4 linked regions of the Saccharomyces cerevisiae S288C genome follow. Changing the gene in region 1 together with any one later gene gives a genetic interaction. Each region holds a gene or a part of one and is shown in the gene's direction. Other genes may lie near its edges.

Region 1 (5,327 bases):
TTCGAGAAAGAAACTAGGTAGCTACAAAAGTATGGAAAAAAGGGTAATAAGCATTCCTTTTTTTTTAGCCGCAAAGCCTGCTTAACCATACATGAAGCACTTTAACATATAGATGCTGCTCTTCACTGTTACATTATATACAGAAAAAAGTGCTCGCAATAAGAAACAAACCTTCAGAAAAAGAAGCTTATCTTGAGCACAAGTCATTCACAGCAAAATTTCTTTTTTCAGTTGCTACATGTTAATTATGGAGTCCTGAGAGTAAGTAACTAGCCATTAGAATTAATTTCCTTCCCTTAAAAATGATAGGGAATGCACGACAATACGTTAATGTGCACCCAACTTGCACCACAGCATATTCTATCCTTTAGTTTGTACAATATTATTAGCTGTGAGAAAGCCCCTTCGTGTGGCACAAATTTATTAATCTCTGTCAAAATACTTCTACTTGTTTATACTGTATAAACGATTAAGTTCCATTATGAATTGTGAATTTAGAATCGGTTTGGTACATCGCTCAGTATAAGTGCTAAATAAAATTATCAAGATTTATATTTCATGGTATATCGGCGTCAGGATATTGCTTTCTCCAATATTCCTGTTGTGCTTGTTTCTCAACTTCTACTGCTTTAACAAAGTATGCTTCGAATATTGGGTCAGAACTGAAACTAAAGCATTTTATTACCTCATTTGAAGCCTCATTTGCTGGTGCATCTATCTGCGTACTTGTGGCGTCCTTTACCGATGAATTTACATTCACACCTGGGGGTTTTTCTTTCACAAGAAATCTGAAGAATTTGTAGCATCTTTCACTACTATAAAAGTAATAGCGAGTACTCCATAAACCATTATCAAGTAAATATTGATTCATATTGTCTGTGATTGCTCTCCATTCTTTTCCCTTTACCGCTGGCCTGTGGGTGATAACTTCCAGCAAAAGCTTAATTCTGAAACCCTCATCCGAGATATACACATTAAACGGAATCAACGTAGACAAAAACAAAATAGAAGTGACGAAAATTGAAAAACCAAAAACGACATCACAAGCTTTAACATTATGAAAGATCACAACTATTAAAATTGAAACTGAAAGTGCCAAGAAGGAAAATATCATCGGTTTGTAATGAGCCATCTCGTACAGCAAGTAGGTCATATATGATTTAAAGGTGTCTTCAGGTAAAGTGATATTTTCTGCGGATGATAACACATTTTGTTCCCCTAATGTATCCAATTTGACATCGTCATTATTACTGTTGTTGTCTAAATGAGGCTGCATGCAGATACGGAGTTTTGTTTCTTGTCTTGATATGGTATAGACAACCGACTGGTGTATATAAACAGAACACAGACTTACATTTTCAGGTTCGAAGTTTTATTGAAGTTCATAAACTCTTTTTAAATTATTTTGTAAACTTGAGCTATTCAAGCAGTATTCTTATTTAACCTAAGCATAGCCCCGGATACAAGGCGTATAATACCCAACTAACTTAAAATGAGAGCCACTTACTGAACACCTTGGAAGGTCATTGTTTGGTTGAAAGGAATATTATTAACTAAGCCTTAGAACAAGGCGTCACCTAAATGATAATGGCTTTTCTTCTGGGCGCGGTCGGGGCTTCGACTCATTTGATACTAGGTTAATTACCCTTTTACGCATACCTAAATATTTGTAACTTTAGATCTGTCCACTAAAAGCGTTTCGATGACTTAGTTGTGCTACTAATAGTAAACTCTTTGTGCAGGCAAATTATATCATCGCTGGCTAGACTTTTTGTCAAAAGTTCTGTTTATACAGTGGGCAGCTAGAGTGCTTAATAACAAAGATATTGTCCTTTAGACTTACACAAGAGCAGAAGCAAAGATAAGCACTGTTTGTTCTGCTTCCATCGTTTTTGCTGAAAATTTTGCATGCATATCCAACCAATATTTAACACCTGGATTATCTCGGTTCAAAGACTACAATAAACGCCCCAATAATTGTGATGCTTTTTTCAATCCAGCCCGCACAAATGAATACCGCTGCTATTGGATGCCATCTTCAGATGTACGTCCAAACTGTGGTTGGTATAGTTTTTAGAACCTCGTGGTGAGGAGTGTTCCATTCTTTCAAAGGCAATGAGAAAAAAAAACAGTTGCGATATTAGTCAACTGTTTTGCATGGTTTCTTTGACGCAGTTGTAAAATCATACTCGAAGGGTAGTTGGAAAATTTTCAACATATATTAGTAATACTTTTTCTGTAAAAGTGACACAAGATAAAATGACTCCATGGCCAAGTTGGTTAAGGCGTGCGACTGTTAATCGCAAGATCGTGAGTTCAACCCTCACTGGGGTCGTTAATTTTTCTTTTCTTTTTTTTTTTTTATCTCCGACGGAGAAAAAATTTTTTCTCAACCCCCGGCATGGCGAATGGAAAAATCACCTGGCACGTCATTTCATCAAATCAACATCGGCCTCCCCGTGCTAATATGTTAACAGGCCGAGCTCTTGCCATCTCACGCATTTTCCGCTATACAAATAGTATATATAATATTACAGCTTTTAAAGAGGGAAGAGGAAACGGAGAAGAAAATATACTACTTTATAGAGATATTCGGCAATTTTTTTTAGCAAAAGTTTATTAAACCCTAATATAGACCTTTACTTGGAGTTTCGATTTTAAGAATTTTTTATCATTTTTTTTTTTTGACGATTTCCTGTCGGTTTCGTTATAACCTGTTGTGTTGTTGTTGTTGTTGTTATTGCTGGGTTGTTGTTATTCACTTTAACATTATCGAATAAAATTTGGACTTTCAAAGTCCTGTTCAATAAGTTGTACTAAGCCTTTAAGCGTTTTTAAGTTACAAATAAAAACTGGAAAGCTTAAGGTAGCTTTCTAATATTAGGCTCTCAACCTTTTTTTACTCTCCATTTACCGCTAGATATTAACTAGTAGTAAGTATTGTGACTACTATTCCCTGTAATCAAAAAAAAAGTAATCAGATTTTATTTTATTTCGACATTACCCCTCAAATATATGACTGGTATGAATGATAATAATGCCGCTATTCCTCAGCAAACTCCAAGGAAACATGCGCTATCTTCTAAAGTTATGCAACTTTTTAGAAGCGGTTCAAGATCATCTAGGCAGGGAAAGGCCTCATCGAATATCCAGCCACCTTCTAATATAAACACAAACGTTCCATCGGCGTCTAAATCAGCCAAATTTGGTTTACATACCCCAACCACTGCTACTCCTAGGGTAGTTTCTAATCCTTCTAATACTGCAGGTGTGAGTAAACCGGGCATGTATATGCCCGAATATTACCAGTCGGCATCACCATCGCACTCTAGTTCATCCGCATCATTAAACAACCATATTGATATTAACACCTCTAAGTCATCATCAGCTGCTTCTTTAACTTCGTCAGTATCAGCTTTATCCTTATCACCCACATCAGCCATAAATATTAGCTCCAAAAGTTTGAGCCCAAAGTTCTCTCATCATAGTAACAGCAATACTGCTATTACACCCGCGCCTACTCCCACTGCTTCAAATATTAATAATGTAAATAAGATAACCAATACAAGTGCACCTATTTGTGGGAGGTTTCTTGTGCATAAAGATGGTACCCATGAACATCACTTAAAAAATGCTAAGAGACAAGAAAAGCTAAGCACAATGATTAAAAACATGGTTGGTGCGAGCAAATTACGTGGTGAGGCAAAATCTGCTGTCCCTGATATAATAATGGATCCAAAGACGACTTTAAAATCCAACAAGAATCCTCCTACTCTTTTTGCAGGCTTCATGAAGCAGGTCGTGGATATGGATGATAAATATCCAGAAGGCGCTCCCACAAGTGGCGCTTTAAATTGTCCTGAAAGGGATATATACAGGTCAGATCAAAAAGATTCCAAAAATAATACGCATAATATCACTACTACTAAAAAAGATAGGCAATGTTTTGCCGAAAAGTATGGTCGCTGTCAAGAAGTCCTTGGTAAAGGTGCTTTTGGTGTAGTAAGAATATGTCAAAAGAAAAATGTTTCTTCTCAAGATGGTAATAAAAGTGAAAAGCTTTATGCAGTGAAAGAGTTCAAGCGTAGAACATCCGAATCAGCAGAAAAGTATTCTAAGAGGTTGACTTCTGAATTTTGCATTTCTTCTTCATTACACCATACAAATATTGTTACTACACTAGATCTTTTCCAAGATGCCAAAGGCGAGTACTGTGAAGTAATGGAATATTGTGCAGGTGGCGATCTATTCACTTTGGTCGTTGCCGCCGGAAAATTAGAATATATGGAAGCAGATTGTTTCTTCAAGCAGCTTATTAGAGGTGTTGTTTATATGCATGAAATGGGTGTTTGTCATAGAGATTTGAAGCCTGAGAACTTACTGCTTACGCACGATGGTGTGCTAAAAATTACAGACTTTGGTAACAGCGAATGTTTCAAGATGGCATGGGAAAAAAATATTCACCTTAGTGGAGGCGTTTGCGGTTCATCGCCGTACATCGCCCCAGAGGAATATATCAAAGAAGAGTTTGATCCAAGACCCGTAGATATATGGGCATGTGGTGTCATTTATATGGCAATGAGAACTGGTAGACAATTGTGGAGTTCTGCTGAAAAAGACGATCCATTTTATATGAATTATTTAAAAGGACGTAAGGAAAAGGGAGGCTATGAGCCAATCGAAAGTTTAAAAAGAGCCAGGTGTAGGAATGTTATATATTCGATGTTAGATCCCGTTCCGTACAGAAGAATTAACGGGAAACAAATTTTGAACAGTGAATGGGGAAGGGAGATAAAATGCTGCCATAATGGGCGCGCATTGAAATAAACGAGTACTTCACTTTCAAATATCACGATATTTTGGAACAATTCGGTATTTTTTACTTAATCTAGTACACTAAGGAATGCTTTGTTATCCGGCATTCGTATCTTATTCCTCGCTTCTATTGTTCTACTTTTATATCCCGTTTGGCTGATTACGGATCACGTTCAAATTGGTAAATCCCATTAATTAAAAAAGAATTGTAACCTTATTTAAAAAAAAAAATAGTACATAACAATAAAAAAAAAAAAGATAATAATTTTGAATTTATTGCTAGACATTCTTACGTTTATTGTGTTCATGTTAACAAAAACACATGCCCGCGGTTATTATCGCTTTTTAATTGCTTTCTTAAAAAGAGTCGGTTGGTCAGATAGAGCAGATAGTAAATTATAGTGCTATTTAGGTCTGTTAATTTAAATGAAAGAAACATAAATGACCGTAAAAAACTAAAGGCAAAAGCATTAATTTATTTTATCCCGAGCGCACAAATATCTAGGCTTGTC
Region 2 (5,129 bases), on another chromosome or scaffold:
GAAAATAAGAAGGGAAACATCCGAATAAGACTAAAACTTTGTTCCTTCAATGACTACTAAGTTATTAGATGTCAGAAATCCCGCAAAATCGCCCGCATATCAAGGTAAGCGGCAAAACCCTATTCTTGAAAAAATGTAAATACTAACCGTGTGAGAATTTTAACGGTGTATTCCAAAAAGTCAGCACGTGATCTGCTAAGAAATCCGAACCTCGGCCTTTGTTTTTTTTGTTACAGCATAGGGAAAAGACGCATTGTGTCAAAAAGGAACATCGTACCATTACCCTCTCAGCACATAGGTAATAAGGTGACAAGTAGCAAGTGAAAAGTACCGCTTACGAAGAATACTTTAATTCAACGTAGATACTGCAAAATATTCAAGTCATTATTTTTGGCCCTTAACTTGCCTTTCCAGTTCTTAGATTCATTCATATGCTAGCTAGCAACAACGGTCACTTTGGGTTGCATTTCACAATCTCATTCGGCTAAGATCTCGGCTAACCAAAAGTTGGACTTCAGGGGTATTAGCGAAATAAGGAGATCTTTTTTAGGTTTATTCCTTGTTTTTAGTTTCATTTTGCTTAATAAAAAGGAAAATGGATATATCGATTTTCTGCATACCCTGTTACATTTGATATAAATACAGCGGGACCTACCAAATATACTTTCATTTTGCTTGTGTTTTATAGATATTTTATTTTTTTTTCCAGGCAGTCAATGACACATTGTTAACTGAAAGTGTTCTGTTATTGTTTTAATTCTAAAAAAATAAAGTAAGGGAAAAAGAGAACGGACTCATTGACAGTTGTAAAGCATGGAGTCCAATAAACAACCACGTAAAATCCAATTATATACGAAAGAGTTTTATGCCACATGTACCTTAGGTGGTATAATTGCGTGCGGTCCAACACATTCTTCGATCACTCCACTAGATCTTGTCAAATGTAGGCTACAGGTCAATCCCAAGTTGTATACTTCAAACTTACAAGGGTTCCGTAAGATTATAGCTAATGAAGGCTGGAAGAAAGTATACACTGGGTTTGGTGCTACATTCGTCGGATATTCGCTACAAGGTGCAGGTAAGTATGGTGGTTATGAGTATTTCAAGCATTTGTATTCTAGTTGGTTAAGTCCTGGTGTCACTGTGTACTTGATGGCCTCAGCGACCGCTGAATTCCTCGCTGATATCATGTTGTGCCCATTTGAAGCTATTAAAGTGAAACAGCAGACTACTATGCCGCCCTTTTGCAATAACGTTGTTGATGGATGGAAAAAAATGTATGCAGAAAGTGGAGGTATGAAAGCATTTTATAAAGGTATTGTTCCCCTATGGTGCAGACAGATTCCTTACACAATGTGTAAGTTTACCTCATTCGAAAAAATTGTTCAAAAAATATACAGTGTTTTACCTAAAAAGAAAGAAGAAATGAACGCATTACAGCAAATATCAGTCAGTTTTGTAGGTGGTTATCTGGCAGGTATATTATGTGCTGCAGTCTCACATCCTGCAGACGTTATGGTTTCCAAGATCAATAGCGAAAGAAAGGCCAACGAGTCCATGTCTGTAGCCTCTAAAAGAATATATCAAAAAATTGGCTTTACTGGGTTGTGGAATGGGTTAATGGTGAGAATTGTCATGATCGGTACTTTGACAAGTTTCCAATGGCTAATTTACGATTCGTTCAAGGCTTATGTAGGCTTACCAACCACCGGTTAGCTGATCGATTCAATCGGCAAGGTTTATCGTAAACACTCTGTGCTAGAGGAATATTGTATACACAGGATTTCATAAAGTTAGTAAATGACCGGCATTTATAGTTTGTTCTTCTTTGCATATGTCTTAATAAATATTCGTCCTACAATTTCTTTTCATACTAAGAGTTTTGTTATGATTGCCAAATTTCTCAAGCCAAGAACAGGCCCAGGAAAACTTTGAAAGTGCCATATCAGAAACACATTTATAAGGTAGTTTCGATATACGGCAATACTCGATGCATGCCCAAACTTGCCAGCCGCTCGCGATTGAATCTTCTACAATTTTTAGGTGAACATATTCAGAGGCTGAGGCCTTATTTGATAGTAACATCAAATATCACTCCCACAATTTACAATCACTGTCATTGGTCTCACAGGATCCTTTTCTTTCTAGAACTCCCCTAATATCAACTTTTTACTCTACTGTGGCTCTAACCACGTGTATTTTTCAGGCCCATGACTCACCTTTTCTTTCTTTTTCACTAGCAAACGAAAATTTCATCATCACTTTTTTTTTTTTTCACTTTCCGTACGCAGTCTTCTCCAGAGATTCTTTTAGCTTCGAAGAAATAATGTATAATATCCATATATAAGAATACTGCTGGATAATTATTTTATTTCTATTTTAACAGTGCTCTACTCATTGAAGGATATTTGTGTAGCCAATACTCTCTCCATCGCTTAAGCTCACATAGCTATCGCATTTTATCACAGAAGCTTTCATTTTTTTTAACTTTTACATGCCAATGGATTTCCAACCTACATCAAGTCATTCGAACTGGGTCGTGCAAAAGTTCGGTGGTACATCTGTCGGTAAATTTCCCGTCCAAATAGTGGATGACATTGTGAAGCACTATTCTAAACCTGACGGCCCAAACAATAATGTCGCTGTCGTTTGTTCCGCCCGTTCTTCATACACCAAGGCTGAAGGTACCACTTCTCGTCTTTTGAAATGTTGTGATTTGGCTTCGCAAGAATCTGAATTTCAAGACATTATCGAAGTTATCAGACAAGACCATATCGATAATGCCGACCGCTTCATTCTCAATCCTGCCTTGCAAGCCAAGTTAGTGGATGATACCAATAAAGAACTTGAACTGGTCAAGAAATATTTAAATGCTTCAAAAGTTTTGGGTGAAGTGAGTTCACGTACAGTAGATCTGGTGATGTCATGTGGTGAGAAGTTGAGTTGTTTGTTCATGACTGCTTTATGTAATGACCGTGGCTGTAAGGCCAAATATGTGGATTTGAGCCACATTGTTCCCTCTGATTTCAGTGCCAGCGCTTTGGATAACAGTTTCTACACTTTCCTGGTTCAAGCATTGAAAGAAAAATTGGCCCCCTTTGTAAGTGCTAAAGAGCGTATCGTTCCAGTCTTTACAGGGTTTTTTGGTTTAGTTCCAACTGGTCTTCTGAATGGTGTTGGTCGTGGCTATACCGATTTATGTGCCGCTTTGATAGCAGTTGCTGTAAATGCTGATGAACTACAAGTTTGGAAGGAAGTTGATGGTATATTTACTGCTGATCCTCGTAAGGTTCCTGAAGCACGTTTGCTAGACAGTGTTACTCCAGAAGAAGCTTCTGAATTAACATATTATGGTTCCGAAGTTATACATCCTTTTACGATGGAACAAGTTATTAGGGCTAAGATTCCTATTAGAATCAAGAATGTTCAAAATCCATTAGGTAACGGTACCATTATCTACCCAGATAATGTAGCAAAGAAGGGTGAATCTACTCCACCACATCCTCCTGAGAACTTATCCTCATCTTTCTATGAAAAGAGAAAGAGAGGTGCCACTGCTATCACCACCAAAAATGACATTTTCGTCATCAACATTCATTCCAATAAGAAAACCCTATCCCATGGTTTCCTAGCTCAAATATTTACCATCCTGGATAAGTACAAGTTAGTCGTAGATTTAATATCTACTTCTGAAGTTCATGTTTCGATGGCTTTGCCCATTCCAGATGCAGACTCATTAAAATCTCTGAGACAAGCTGAGGAAAAATTGAGAATTTTAGGTTCTGTTGATATCACAAAGAAGTTGTCTATTGTTTCATTAGTTGGTAAACATATGAAACAATACATCGGCATTGCTGGTACCATGTTTACTACTCTTGCTGAAGAAGGCATCAACATTGAAATGATTTCTCAAGGGGCAAATGAAATAAACATATCCTGCGTTATCAATGAATCTGACTCCATAAAAGCGCTACAATGTATTCATGCCAAGTTACTAAGTGAGCGGACAAATACTTCAAACCAATTTGAACATGCCATTGATGAACGTTTAGAACAATTGAAAAGACTTGGAATTTAAATCCACCTTTCTTCTTCACTTTAATGATAGAATATTAATTTTCCCTTTATATATATATATATATATATATACGCGCACATATATTTACATATATATTAATGTTTTGTAACCTATATTGGGGCGATTATTCCCTAAATGTAATGTCAGGGTTATACTGTATCAATTGCTAAAGTAGATCTCATTCATCGAGAGCATAGGATGAAATAAAAGATACAAGAACGTGGCGGACAAGAAGAAATTTTACGAAATAAGATCGGCTAAAGCTTTCGCTAAATGCTTCTTTGAAGTGAAATTTAACGGCTTGTACTTAACTTCAGGTTTTATAACGTATGCATGAAGTGATTGAATTGCGCAATTAGTGGTCCTGGAAAGCAAATCCCCATCACTGACATCACTAGTGATTTTATTTTTATCAAGCGCAAGATACTCGCATAATTTACCCATCACTTGATCAAACTTCGGGAAGGTAAATCTTCTAGGAACCTTTGTTAACTTTTCAATTTCCACAATTTTAAGGTGTGTCTCCAAATCACGGATGGTTAAAAAGTTGCCTCCAAATACCAAAGAGTCTACTGGTGTATAAACTGCATGAATATATCCAGCTGGAATCATAAACAAATCACCAGCATCTAATTCCATCGCAATACCATCCTCAAGAATATCACCGAGGAAAACACTATTTTGGTCTTCTTTTAAAGACCACTCAATATACTTATCTATGTTTGATTGGGTAGGTGGAAATAATAAAAACTTCTTCTGTCCTGAGATAACGTTATAATAAACAGAGGTACCGGCAAAATCCAAATGAAAATCCGTATAAGCATCCTTTACAGACATCAAAATATATTTGGTCACTTTTGGCTTGGGGTCATTCTCCTCCGCCTTCTCCCCATTGACTTTTTCTAAATGTCCATTGAAACTCCAAATTTTATCAACAAGATCATTCTGCCTAACTGCAGTGGGCCTCTCTAGTTCTAATCCCTCAATATTAGAGACTTCTAATGATATAACATTCCTTATTCGATCCCTCCTGTCTGGTTCAGTATTTGTA
Region 3 (4,575 bases), on another chromosome or scaffold:
CTTAGAAACGCTCTCTTGGGCCATTTATTTTCAGTTTCATCGCTGCTGAATATATTATTCATTGATATTTTCTCTAATATTTCATCCAACTTCGCTGTGATATAGGGGAGAATAATTTTTTCCAAAAAAATAACACTCTTTTGCTGTTGATTCAGCTGCAAACCTTGGGGCCATTCACTCTGGCCCTTTGGATTTAAACATTGTGTTAAGGCAAGATTTCTGTCCCTCGAACTAAATAGTTGCAATCCATAAAACCGATCAATAAACGTAGAATTGTATGTCTTTAGATGATACCATTCAACAAACCCTTTTATCGCTTGAAACCACTCAAAAAAGTACTTGTTCAGCCGCAAAGTATACCTGTTAGGGAAGTTCGCCACTAAATGATTTGCCAGTAGATAACGGATGGATGCGGGCAGTAACGAATCGATTTCTTGTGATGACATTATCTCAAAGATAGTCGGATACAATGGTTCTAATCCCACCCCATTTCGACCGCTTGTTGAAGACCCTCGACTAGATTGTCCTGCAGACGGTAGGTTTGAATAAAAGCTCATCACTTGACGACTACCTTCCTTTCCTTTGCTTTATTTTCCCTGCTTATTCCCTTGCTTCTTCTGGAGCCTTCATGCAAAACCGTTTCTCTACCTAATGTGATTCTGCGGTAAGCATTGCTCTTAAGCATCTGAATGAGACGAAAGGATGACTCCACACTAAATTGTACCTCTCTTCTCCAGTGACTGAATTGGAGGTTACCATTGCCAGTGACGGTAATCGTCCACATCGATGATTTCTTAGTATAACCCACACACCTCTCAGACATAGAGGCCCCAGGTGCAACGTGATAGTATAACTGCCCGGAAGTAGAAATACAACTATTCCCTTCATATTAAAAGAATAAAACTTCATTTGAACTCTTTAAAATTTAGTGGTTCATTGTGGTCCTTGTGTAAACGGAAAAAAAGGATATTACGGTAGTGGGTAGTACATAACAAGAGATGACTATCCCTGGAAGATTTATGACAATTGATAAGGGCACTTTTGGTGAATACACTGCTAGCACCCGTTGGCCCATTATCATTCAGAATGCTATAGACGATTTAAGTAAGCATCAAGAAACGGAGAAGAGTAACGGCACTAAGTTCGAACAAGGTGAAGTTATCAAAAAGGAGCTCAAGGAATTCCGTCAGGAGATAATTGATCGTGTACCTTTGAGACCCTTTACTGAAGAAGAGATCAAAATTGCCAACGTCCCGCTTTCGTTCAATGAATATCTAAAGAAACACCCTGAAGTCAATTGGGGGGCTGTAGAGTGGCTGTTCTCGGAGGTTTACTTGTATAGAAGAGTAAATGTTCTTTTCCAACGCCAATGCGAATGGGCTAAATTTGACATATTCAACAGACTTAAACAGTCAACTTTTGAGTCCTCGTTTTATGGTGTCGTGGAATTGGCGTTAAGGTATGAAAATCTGTTACCACAGCTGAGAGAAATGAAGCAAAATCCAGGAAATGAGATTGACGATATATTGAAAGTTCTTTTTAAAGAGTTTATTGAGATTTCTTTGTGGGGCAATGCCACTGATTTATCTTTATTGACCAACGCTACGTTAGAAGACATTAAATCAATCCAAGGGGCGAAAGCAAGAGCTGCATCCGAGTCCAAGATTGTTGTTAATGACACGGAGAAAGCATGGGAGGTATTAACCAAAGCCAGGGCCGATGCCAATAGCAGAGAAATTCGTGTTGATTTTGTATTAGACAATTCTGGCTTTGAATTGTATGCTGACTTGATGTTGGCAGCTTTTCTGTTACAAAGTGGTTTGGCTACCAAATGTATTTTCCACGCTAAAGACATTCCATACATGGTTAGCGATGTTATGTTAAAAGATTTTGATATATTAGTTCATGACCTGAGAGATCGTGAGTTCTTCCCAAGTGGTGAACCCTCGACAAAGGAATCCAGAGCTCTTGATTTATTTGCTGGTGAAATGGAAAAGTTCGTCTCTAGCGGTAAGATAGAATTCCGCGAAGATTCTTTCTGGACCACGGAATTAGATTATTGGAATTTGGACGCAAACGAAACCAAATACCATGGATCCATTTTGCACAAAGATTTGCAAAAATCCAATTTGGTTATTTTTAAGGGTGATCTAAACTATAGAAAATTAACTGGCGACAGAAAATGGCCCCGCACCACTAAATGGGAAACGGCTATCGGACCTCTTGCTACGAATGGTATTACATCATTGAGCTTGAGAACCTGTAAAGCCGATGTACAAGTTGCTTTACCTGAAGGTCTAGACGCGAAATTAAGTCAAGAATGGGAAAAGGAAAATCCTGGCCGTGGTTCTTGGTGGTGTTGTAGCGGTAAATGGGCAGTCATTTGTTTCTGCTCTGGTATACATAAATAAGAATATGATAAGTTCTCTATATAACTTTACTTTATGACTTTCCCTATGAAATGTTCCAAAAAAGCACATAGATTTTTAGTACGTGCCTTTTATTTTATGTACTTCTGATAAAAAAAAGAAAGCTCCTAAGGACAAATTACAATCAATGGCGAAAGAAGAGGAAGAAAGTAATAACGAGGAGAGATCATAAACATGGCGTCAGTAACAGAACAATTCAACGATATTATTAGCTTATACTCAACAAAATTGGAACACACATCTTTGAGGCAAGATTCACCAGAGTACCAGGGATTATTACTTTCCACGATCAAGAAATTATTAAACTTAAAAACAGCAATTTTTGACAGGTTGGCATTGTTCAGTACTAATGAGACCATTGATGATGTGTCTACTGCTTCCATCAAATTTCTAGCAGTTGATTACTATTTAGGATTATTGATATCAAGACGACAGTCGAATGATTCGGATGTTGCTCAAAGGCAGTCTATGAAATTGATTTACCTGAAAAAAAGCGTTGAATCTTTCATTAATTTCCTGACACTATTGCAGGATTATAAGCTTCTAGATCCTTTGGTTGGTGAAAAACTAGGTAACTTCAAGGATCGTTATAACCCTCAGCTTAGCGAATTGTACGCGCAACCAAAAAATAACAAAGATTTATCTGGAGCACAGTTGAAGAGAAAAGAAAAGATTGAGCTATTCCAGCGCAATAAAGAAATTAGCACAAAACTGCACTGCTTGGAGTTGGAATTAAAAAACAACGACGAGGACCACGACCATGATGAATTACTAAGAGAACTATATTTGATGAGGTTACATCACTTTAGTCTTGATACGATTAACAACATTGAACAGAATTTATTTGAATGTGAAATGCTCTCTAATTTCCTCAAAAATTCCGTACATGAAGTCAAATCATCAGGTACTCAGATACGAAAAGAATCGAATGATGATGATTCCACTGGTTTTACCGATAAATTAGAGAATATAAATAAGCCATTGATAGACAAAAAAGGTCAAGTCTTGAGGAACTTCACGCTTGTCGACAAAAGGCAACAACTGCAACAAAAAGTGCGAGGATATGGTCAATATGGACCAACAATGTCGGTGGAGGAATTTTTAGATAAAGAGTTTGAAGAAGGTCGCGTTCTTCAAGGTGGCGAAGAACCAGAGCAAGCACCAGATGAAGAAAACATGGACTGGCAAGATAGAGAAACCTATAAAGCTCGTGAGTGGGACGAGTTCAAGGAAAGTCATGCTAAGGGAAGCGGAAATACCATGAATAGAGGATAGAAAAAAATACCTATATACGTACACATAAGTATCTATTAGACAGATTCATATATTATTTTTTTTTCTGCCTACATCAGTTATATTTTAATCTTGTGCAAAAGGACTTCGTTATTTTTATTCACGGTGATTAACACCGGCGTAGAATCTACAATCAGATTTGAAGAAAATACCACAGGCTCTTTTCTTTCCGAGAAGTTGATGTCTGCTACGACAAATTCGTCGATGGATGGTTTTAGGTTTTCTAAATTCCTAAACTCAAAGTCTCCATTACTATATGATACGGTGATTATGCTGTCGTTCAAATCGAGTTGTATTGGTAGTGTTGACGATGGAGTCAATTGTTCCTTCAGTACAACTTTTTTCTTATCAAAAGAATAAACCAATAATCTCTCATTGCTTAGCTGAATCAGTAGCTTAGAAGTTTTTCTATCCAAAAATAAATGGTAACCTTCTTCTTCTGGCTTACCCGATAATATTGTATCAATCTTCAAATCAATTTTTTGTAGAAGCTTACCCTCGAAATCATATATGGTAAGCTGGTATGGATTTGAAGACAGTAATATTAAGGATTTTTCTGTTATACCCAATATACAATCCAGAATGTTTGTGGAATCATTACTATCATCGTCATCATTATCATGTGTTATTTCATATGTTTCTTTTATGTTAATTGGGACATCCTCAGGAGCCTCTATATTGTCCAATTCCCAGATTCTAATTTGAGATTTATTCTTACTAGCTATCAACAACCATTTATTTTTGAAGTCTATATTAATGATATCACTAGACGAAAACGGCTGTTCTGAGTCTTGTAATAGGTCCACATCTGAGATCAAAGATGCGCTAGAAATAGAGAACAATTTCAAATGGA
Region 4 (5,004 bases), on another chromosome or scaffold:
ACTTCAGTAATGTTTACTGTAGACATAAGCTGGAAATTATGCTACGAATCAGTAAACCTGATCCTGAGTGTCCGTCCAAATTAAGACATTATGAGGTTCTAATCGATACGCCCATATTCCTGGTGTCTGAACAGTGCAACAGTGGTAATATGGAGTTACCCACTTATGATATGGCCACAATGGAAGGCAAAGGCAACCAGGTTCCTCTAAGTATGAACAGCGACTTTTTTGGTAACACATGTCCACCTCCGCCAACTTTTGAAGAAGCCATATCCGTTCCAGCTTCTCCCATTGTCTCACCGATGGGATCACCTAATATCATGGCCTCGTATGACCCTGATTTACTATCTATTCAACAATTGAACTTATCAAGAACTACGTCAGTTAGTGGGCCATCCGGATACAGCGATGATGCCGGTGTGCCAAATGTTAATCGGAACAGTATTTCAAATGCCAATGCCATGAACGGCAGTATTTCGAATTCCGCATTTGTTTCGGGCAATAGTGGCCAAGGTGTTGCTAGAGCAAGAGCAACGTCAGTGAATGACAGGTCAAGATTCAATAATCTCGATAAATTATTGAGCACTCCATCGCCCGTCAATAGATCTCACAATTCATCACCAACAAATGGCTTATCACAAGCAAATGGTACTGTGAGGATTCCAAACGCTACCACTGAAAACTCTAAGGACAAACAGAACGAATTTTTCAAAAAGGGTTACACTTTAGCGAATGTAAAAGATGATGAAGAACAAGAAGGAATAGTAAGTTCGAGCTCCGCAGATTCGCTACTCTCTCATGGTAACGAGCCTCCGCGTTATGACGAAATAGTGCCTTTGATGAGTGATGAAGAATGAATTTTTTCGTTTTTTATTTTTTTTTGAATTATTCTACGATAATTATATATATAGAGCCACTGCATGTTTTACTCCCTTTTTGTTGACTACATGCTATTTAATTAGGTTAGGTTATAAATCTCTTTATTATTGTTTCTTATAACATAAACATTATTTTTCTTCTTCAACTAATCAATTCAATATGCACTATGAATGATAATTCAGATGCGCAGAACACCTCTTGCCGAATTGACACCAGCAGAGCTTAACATCCTCAAACCTGTTGCACCGAATGGGAAATATGAAATAGCATAATAAATGACGGCAACTAATTCAAGAAGAGCACATGTAATAGTCAGCACCGTGTTCTTGGAAAAGGCTGCGAAATAAATCGTCATGAAGCATGTGGCGAAAAAGAACATCGAAAAAGGCAGCCTTTCCCTTGCAGTCAAATGTTTTAAGTACGCGAGTGGTCCCATAAGTACCCCAAACGCAAGAACAAATAGTAGGGACCCCATTGTCCATAGTAAACCAAACTTTCTTGGTTTAGCGGCTAGAACGGGGAAAAGGAAAGTACAAAGAGTGAAACAGGCTGTTGCACCCAAAAGAAAACAGACAAAAAGTACCATTCTTTCCGTTCTTGACAATTGGAACCACGACGGCTCCTGGTCTTGCACCAAGTCCTGTCTAGATACAGGCAACGTCTGATATATATCCTGGGCCCTGGTATTGAGAGAATCCGCCCAGCTTGAGAACAATGTCTTCGCAGATTCATTAAAACCCTGCGAGTTCTGCTGTCTTGTTTGATTCCATCGATTCAATGAGTCACGGAGACTATTGACCTGGTCAGAAGGTGGTTCCTCGCTCATATTCTCCACACTTGTTCTTTTTTTTTACCAGCAAAAAAAAAAAACGCAACTGCAGACAATACAGGTAATCTAAGTCCTACTCTAAACTACCGAACGCAATTAGAATGCAAATTTATTCAATCTTCTTCCTATTTCAGTATAGTACAAGTCTTGACCAATACTCCCTCTTCATTACAATCGCCTTTTGCCGGGTCACGATTGCGGGCCGTTCCGCGGGATGTGACTCTTCGCAAGTTACTTTTGAAATAATAAAGCCATGGTGATTAGAAAAGCCTTCTTATGAGCAACAGAAACTAACAATTGTACTACTCGGTCCGGACAGTAGGATCTCCAATATTACTGCAGGTTAGTACATTATTTTTTACTCGCAGTTGCTATTTTGGCTAGAGGCTGCACGGAATCATCAAGGAATTTTTCACAATCCGAATTTCTGTCTTACGTGAGCATATATAAGATAACAAAAACGACATTACTGCATTCACATTACTTAGTTGACAAGTATCCTTTAATAGAATACTCTTATTTTTTGTCAGGCGAACCTACTTCTTAAATAAGTGAAGAATGATGAACAATAACGAAAGTGAGGCTGAGAACCAACGTCTACTGGACGAATTAATGAACCAGACAAAAGTCCTCCAGGAAACTTTAGATTTTTCGTTAGTGACACCCACTCCACACCACAATGATGATTACAAGATACACGGAAGTGCCTACCCAGGTGGTGAGACTCCTGCCCAACAGCATGAAAAACTCTCATACATCAATACGCACAACTCTAACGATAATAATAACTTAATGGGCAGTCAAGCGAGGTCCAATTCACAAACTCCTACAGCTTCGACCATATATGAGGAAGCAGAATCGCAATCGTCTTACCTGGATGATATGTTTAGAACAAGCCAAGGCGGTAGACCTGTCACTCAAAATTCCATATCTTCCATAGGGCAGGGTCCCTTGAGATCATCTTATTCTATGGCTTACGACTCACCTGTGGATAGAGCAATGAATACTCCATTACAGCAACAAGAAGGCTTAAAAGCTGAGTTACCACATGACTTTTTATTTCAGCATGGCACCGATGACACAATGTATAACTTAACTGATGATTTGAGCTCCTCTTTATCTTCTAGCATCAATTCTGATATGATGACACCAAACACATATTCATCATCATTTTCTTATAATCCACAAAGCTTGGGCCCAGCATCCGTATCTTCCACATATTCCCCAAAGGTAAGATCACCATCATCGTCATTTCGTGCAGGAAGTTTCCTTTCATCTTCTTTTAGGCATGGTAGCATAAACACACCCAGAACAAGACACACTTCAATAAGTAGCAATATGACTGAAAATATAGGACCTGGAAGTGTTCCAAAGATTTTAGGCGGGTTAACTTCTGATGAGAAACTGAGGCGCAAAAGAGAGTTTCATAATGCCGTCGAAAGGAGAAGAAGAGAATTAATAAAGCAAAAGATAAAAGAACTCGGCCAGTTGGTTCCACCATCTTTATTGAATTACGATGACCTAGGTAAACAAATCAAACCAAATAAGGGTATCATTTTGGATAGAACGGTCGAATATTTACAATACCTGGCCGAAATTTTAGAAATACAAGCACGAAAAAAGAAGGCGTTATTGGCGAAGATAAAAGAATTGGAAGAGAAGAAAAGTTCTGTCGCAGCATTATCTCCTTTTACCAATAACCACCATGCCAGTTCGGGGCAAAATAATAGCGAGAATAGTGAGGAAAGAATTATAGATATTAGATCTGTCCCAAATGCTTTGATGAATGAACAAAATAGTAAGGCTGAATTGCACAATTGGGAGCCACCGTTATATGATTCGGTCGGTAACCACAATCATGCTGGCACTATGGAGAGTCATCCACATACAAACATTCATGAAGAATTAAAGGAGTTCTTATCAGGCGATTTGATTGAAGCCGAAGATAATGCAAAATTAATGTTTGGAGATGACAACTCTAATCCAGCTGACTATCTTTTAGAATTTGGTTCGGGGTAGTTTATGGTCTTATTAGCGGGAAAAAATTAAATTTGAAAAAGGTCAGGTAAGCAAAAGCAGTAAAACTTCAATATCTATGTTTGTTCCTTCTATTGGGAGAACGTTAATCGCTTCCGTACTCGCAAGATAATGTAATGAAAAAATTAGGAATTGCAACAAAATAAAGCGGAATATTAGTAACGCTTACATGCAACGTTTTGAAAAGAGTGGAAGAGATAGGCAAGCAGAATTATATGTAACAAAATCTAAAATTATTCACTATTATTCTTGGTTATGTCTAATACTTTGGATATATTAATTCTTTAGAATTTTATGTATTCTAAATGCAATTATGTCAATAAAACCCATGTAATTTTCTTTCATGATATGATTTAAATGCATTAGTATTATCAGGCATATTGTTATATATGAAGAAGGTTAGTTATAAGTAGTGTATAATATATACATGTGCTGCCCGCAATTGGGTATGATATGATTTTTAGTGCTTTATAATTTGGCGTCGCAAGAATGTAGATCACTTGTATCAATGGAAAGCTTACTTGGGTAACTCATTTATTGAGAAAATCAATGGATGTCGAATTTATATAGAGTAGAGCCAACACTTCATGATTGGAAAGCATATACCAAACGGTATACCACTGATAATATGAATGCAGAAGACTAATGCGCTACACATCATACTTTACGGCGATGATATATTTCAAGATAGCATAAGCTCTATGGTTATTCTGATGTTACTGGTAGTCGTAAGTGCAGTATCACGAACGTATAGAAGAATAAACATGGGTCTCATCAAAAAAGTGACCCATTGGTCATATGATAATTTGATTGATTATCTTTCAGTGAACCCTACAAGAGATGAAGTGACCCACTATAAAGTGGATCCGGAAAATGAATCTGATGAATCAATTATTAAATTACACACTGTGAAAGACTTCGGCAGTATCACCTGCTTAGACTATTCAGAATCAGAAATTGGTATGATTGGAGTTGGTGAAAAGAATGGATATTTAAGGATTTTTAATATCTCTGGACAAAATTCCTCATCGCCAGCGAGCCATGCGCCAGTGGGCTTAAATGCCAATAACGAGACTTCTATGACAAATGCCAGCGGTGGTAAGGCAGCTCAGGCGGAAAATATAGTTGGATCTGTCTCAAATTTAAAGGATACCCAAGGGTACCCTGTTTCAGAAACCAATTATGATATACGTGTACGAGCAAAGAAGCAGCGGTGTATAAACTCTCTGGGAATAAATACGAATGGTCTTATAGCAATG

Evidence for each region.
Region 2: mutations in SAT4 (region 1) and HOM3 together harm fitness more than expected from each alone (negative genetic interaction), as found in Saccharomyces cerevisiae (3 studies listed by BioGRID).
Region 3: mutations in SAT4 (region 1) and TAP42 together harm fitness more than expected from each alone (negative genetic interaction), as found in Saccharomyces cerevisiae (3 studies listed by BioGRID).
Region 4: mutations in SAT4 (region 1) and RTG3 together harm fitness more than expected from each alone (negative genetic interaction), as found in Saccharomyces cerevisiae (2 studies listed by BioGRID).

Annotation. Positions count from the first base shown.
Region 1 is NC_001135.5:125,455-130,781, forward strand, and holds SAT4 (serine/threonine protein kinase SAT4), read left to right. Parts: upstream 1-3,015; coding exon 3,016-4,827; downstream 4,828-5,327. Other genes in the region: DFP3 (DUP240 family protein), read right to left, coding at 557-1,276; amphiphysin-like protein RVS161, read right to left, coding at 5,291-5,327. UniProt on the Saccharomyces cerevisiae protein: Promotes K(+) uptake, by the potassium transporter TRK1-TRK2, which leads to the subsequent cellular resistance to toxic cations such as Na(+), Li(+) and Ca(2+).
Region 2 is NC_001137.3:255,324-260,452, reverse strand, and holds HOM3 (aspartate kinase), read left to right. Parts: upstream 1-2,494; coding exon 2,495-4,078; downstream 4,079-5,129. Other genes in the region: PIC2 (Cu/Pi carrier), read left to right, coding at 814-1,716; JHD1 ([Histone H3]-lysine-36 demethylase), read right to left, coding at 4,319-5,129. UniProt on the Saccharomyces cerevisiae protein: Phosphorylates aspartate, the first step in the biosynthesis of amino acids that derive from aspartate (the aspartate family of amino acids), including methioinine and threonine, the latter of which is a precursor to isoleucine.
Region 3 is NC_001145.3:324,879-329,453, forward strand, and holds TAP42 (Tap42p), read left to right. Parts: upstream 1-2,603; coding exon 2,604-3,704; downstream 3,705-4,575. Other genes in the region: PEX12 (ubiquitin-protein ligase peroxin 12), read right to left, coding at 1-557; YMR027W (putative methyltransferase), read left to right, coding at 999-2,411; FAR8 (Far8p), read right to left, coding at 3,782-4,575. UniProt on the Saccharomyces cerevisiae protein: Involved in negative regulation of the TOR signaling pathway in response to type of available nitrogen source. Inhibitor of PP2A phosphatase SIT4, which results in inhibition of nuclear export of MSN2, due to lack of dephosphorylation by SIT4.
Region 4 is NC_001134.8:20,799-25,802, reverse strand, and holds RTG3 (Rtg3p), read left to right. Parts: upstream 1-2,266; coding exon 2,267-3,727; downstream 3,728-5,004. Other genes in the region: ECM21 (Ecm21p), read left to right, coding at 1-857; SFT2 (Sft2p), read right to left, coding at 1,058-1,705; SEA4 (Sea4p), read left to right, coding at 4,510-5,004. UniProt on the Saccharomyces cerevisiae protein: Transcription factor that regulates CIT2 gene expression. Binds to two identical sites oriented as inverted repeats 28 bp apart in a regulatory upstream activation sequence element (UASR) in the CIT2 promoter. The core binding site is 5'-GGTCAC-3'.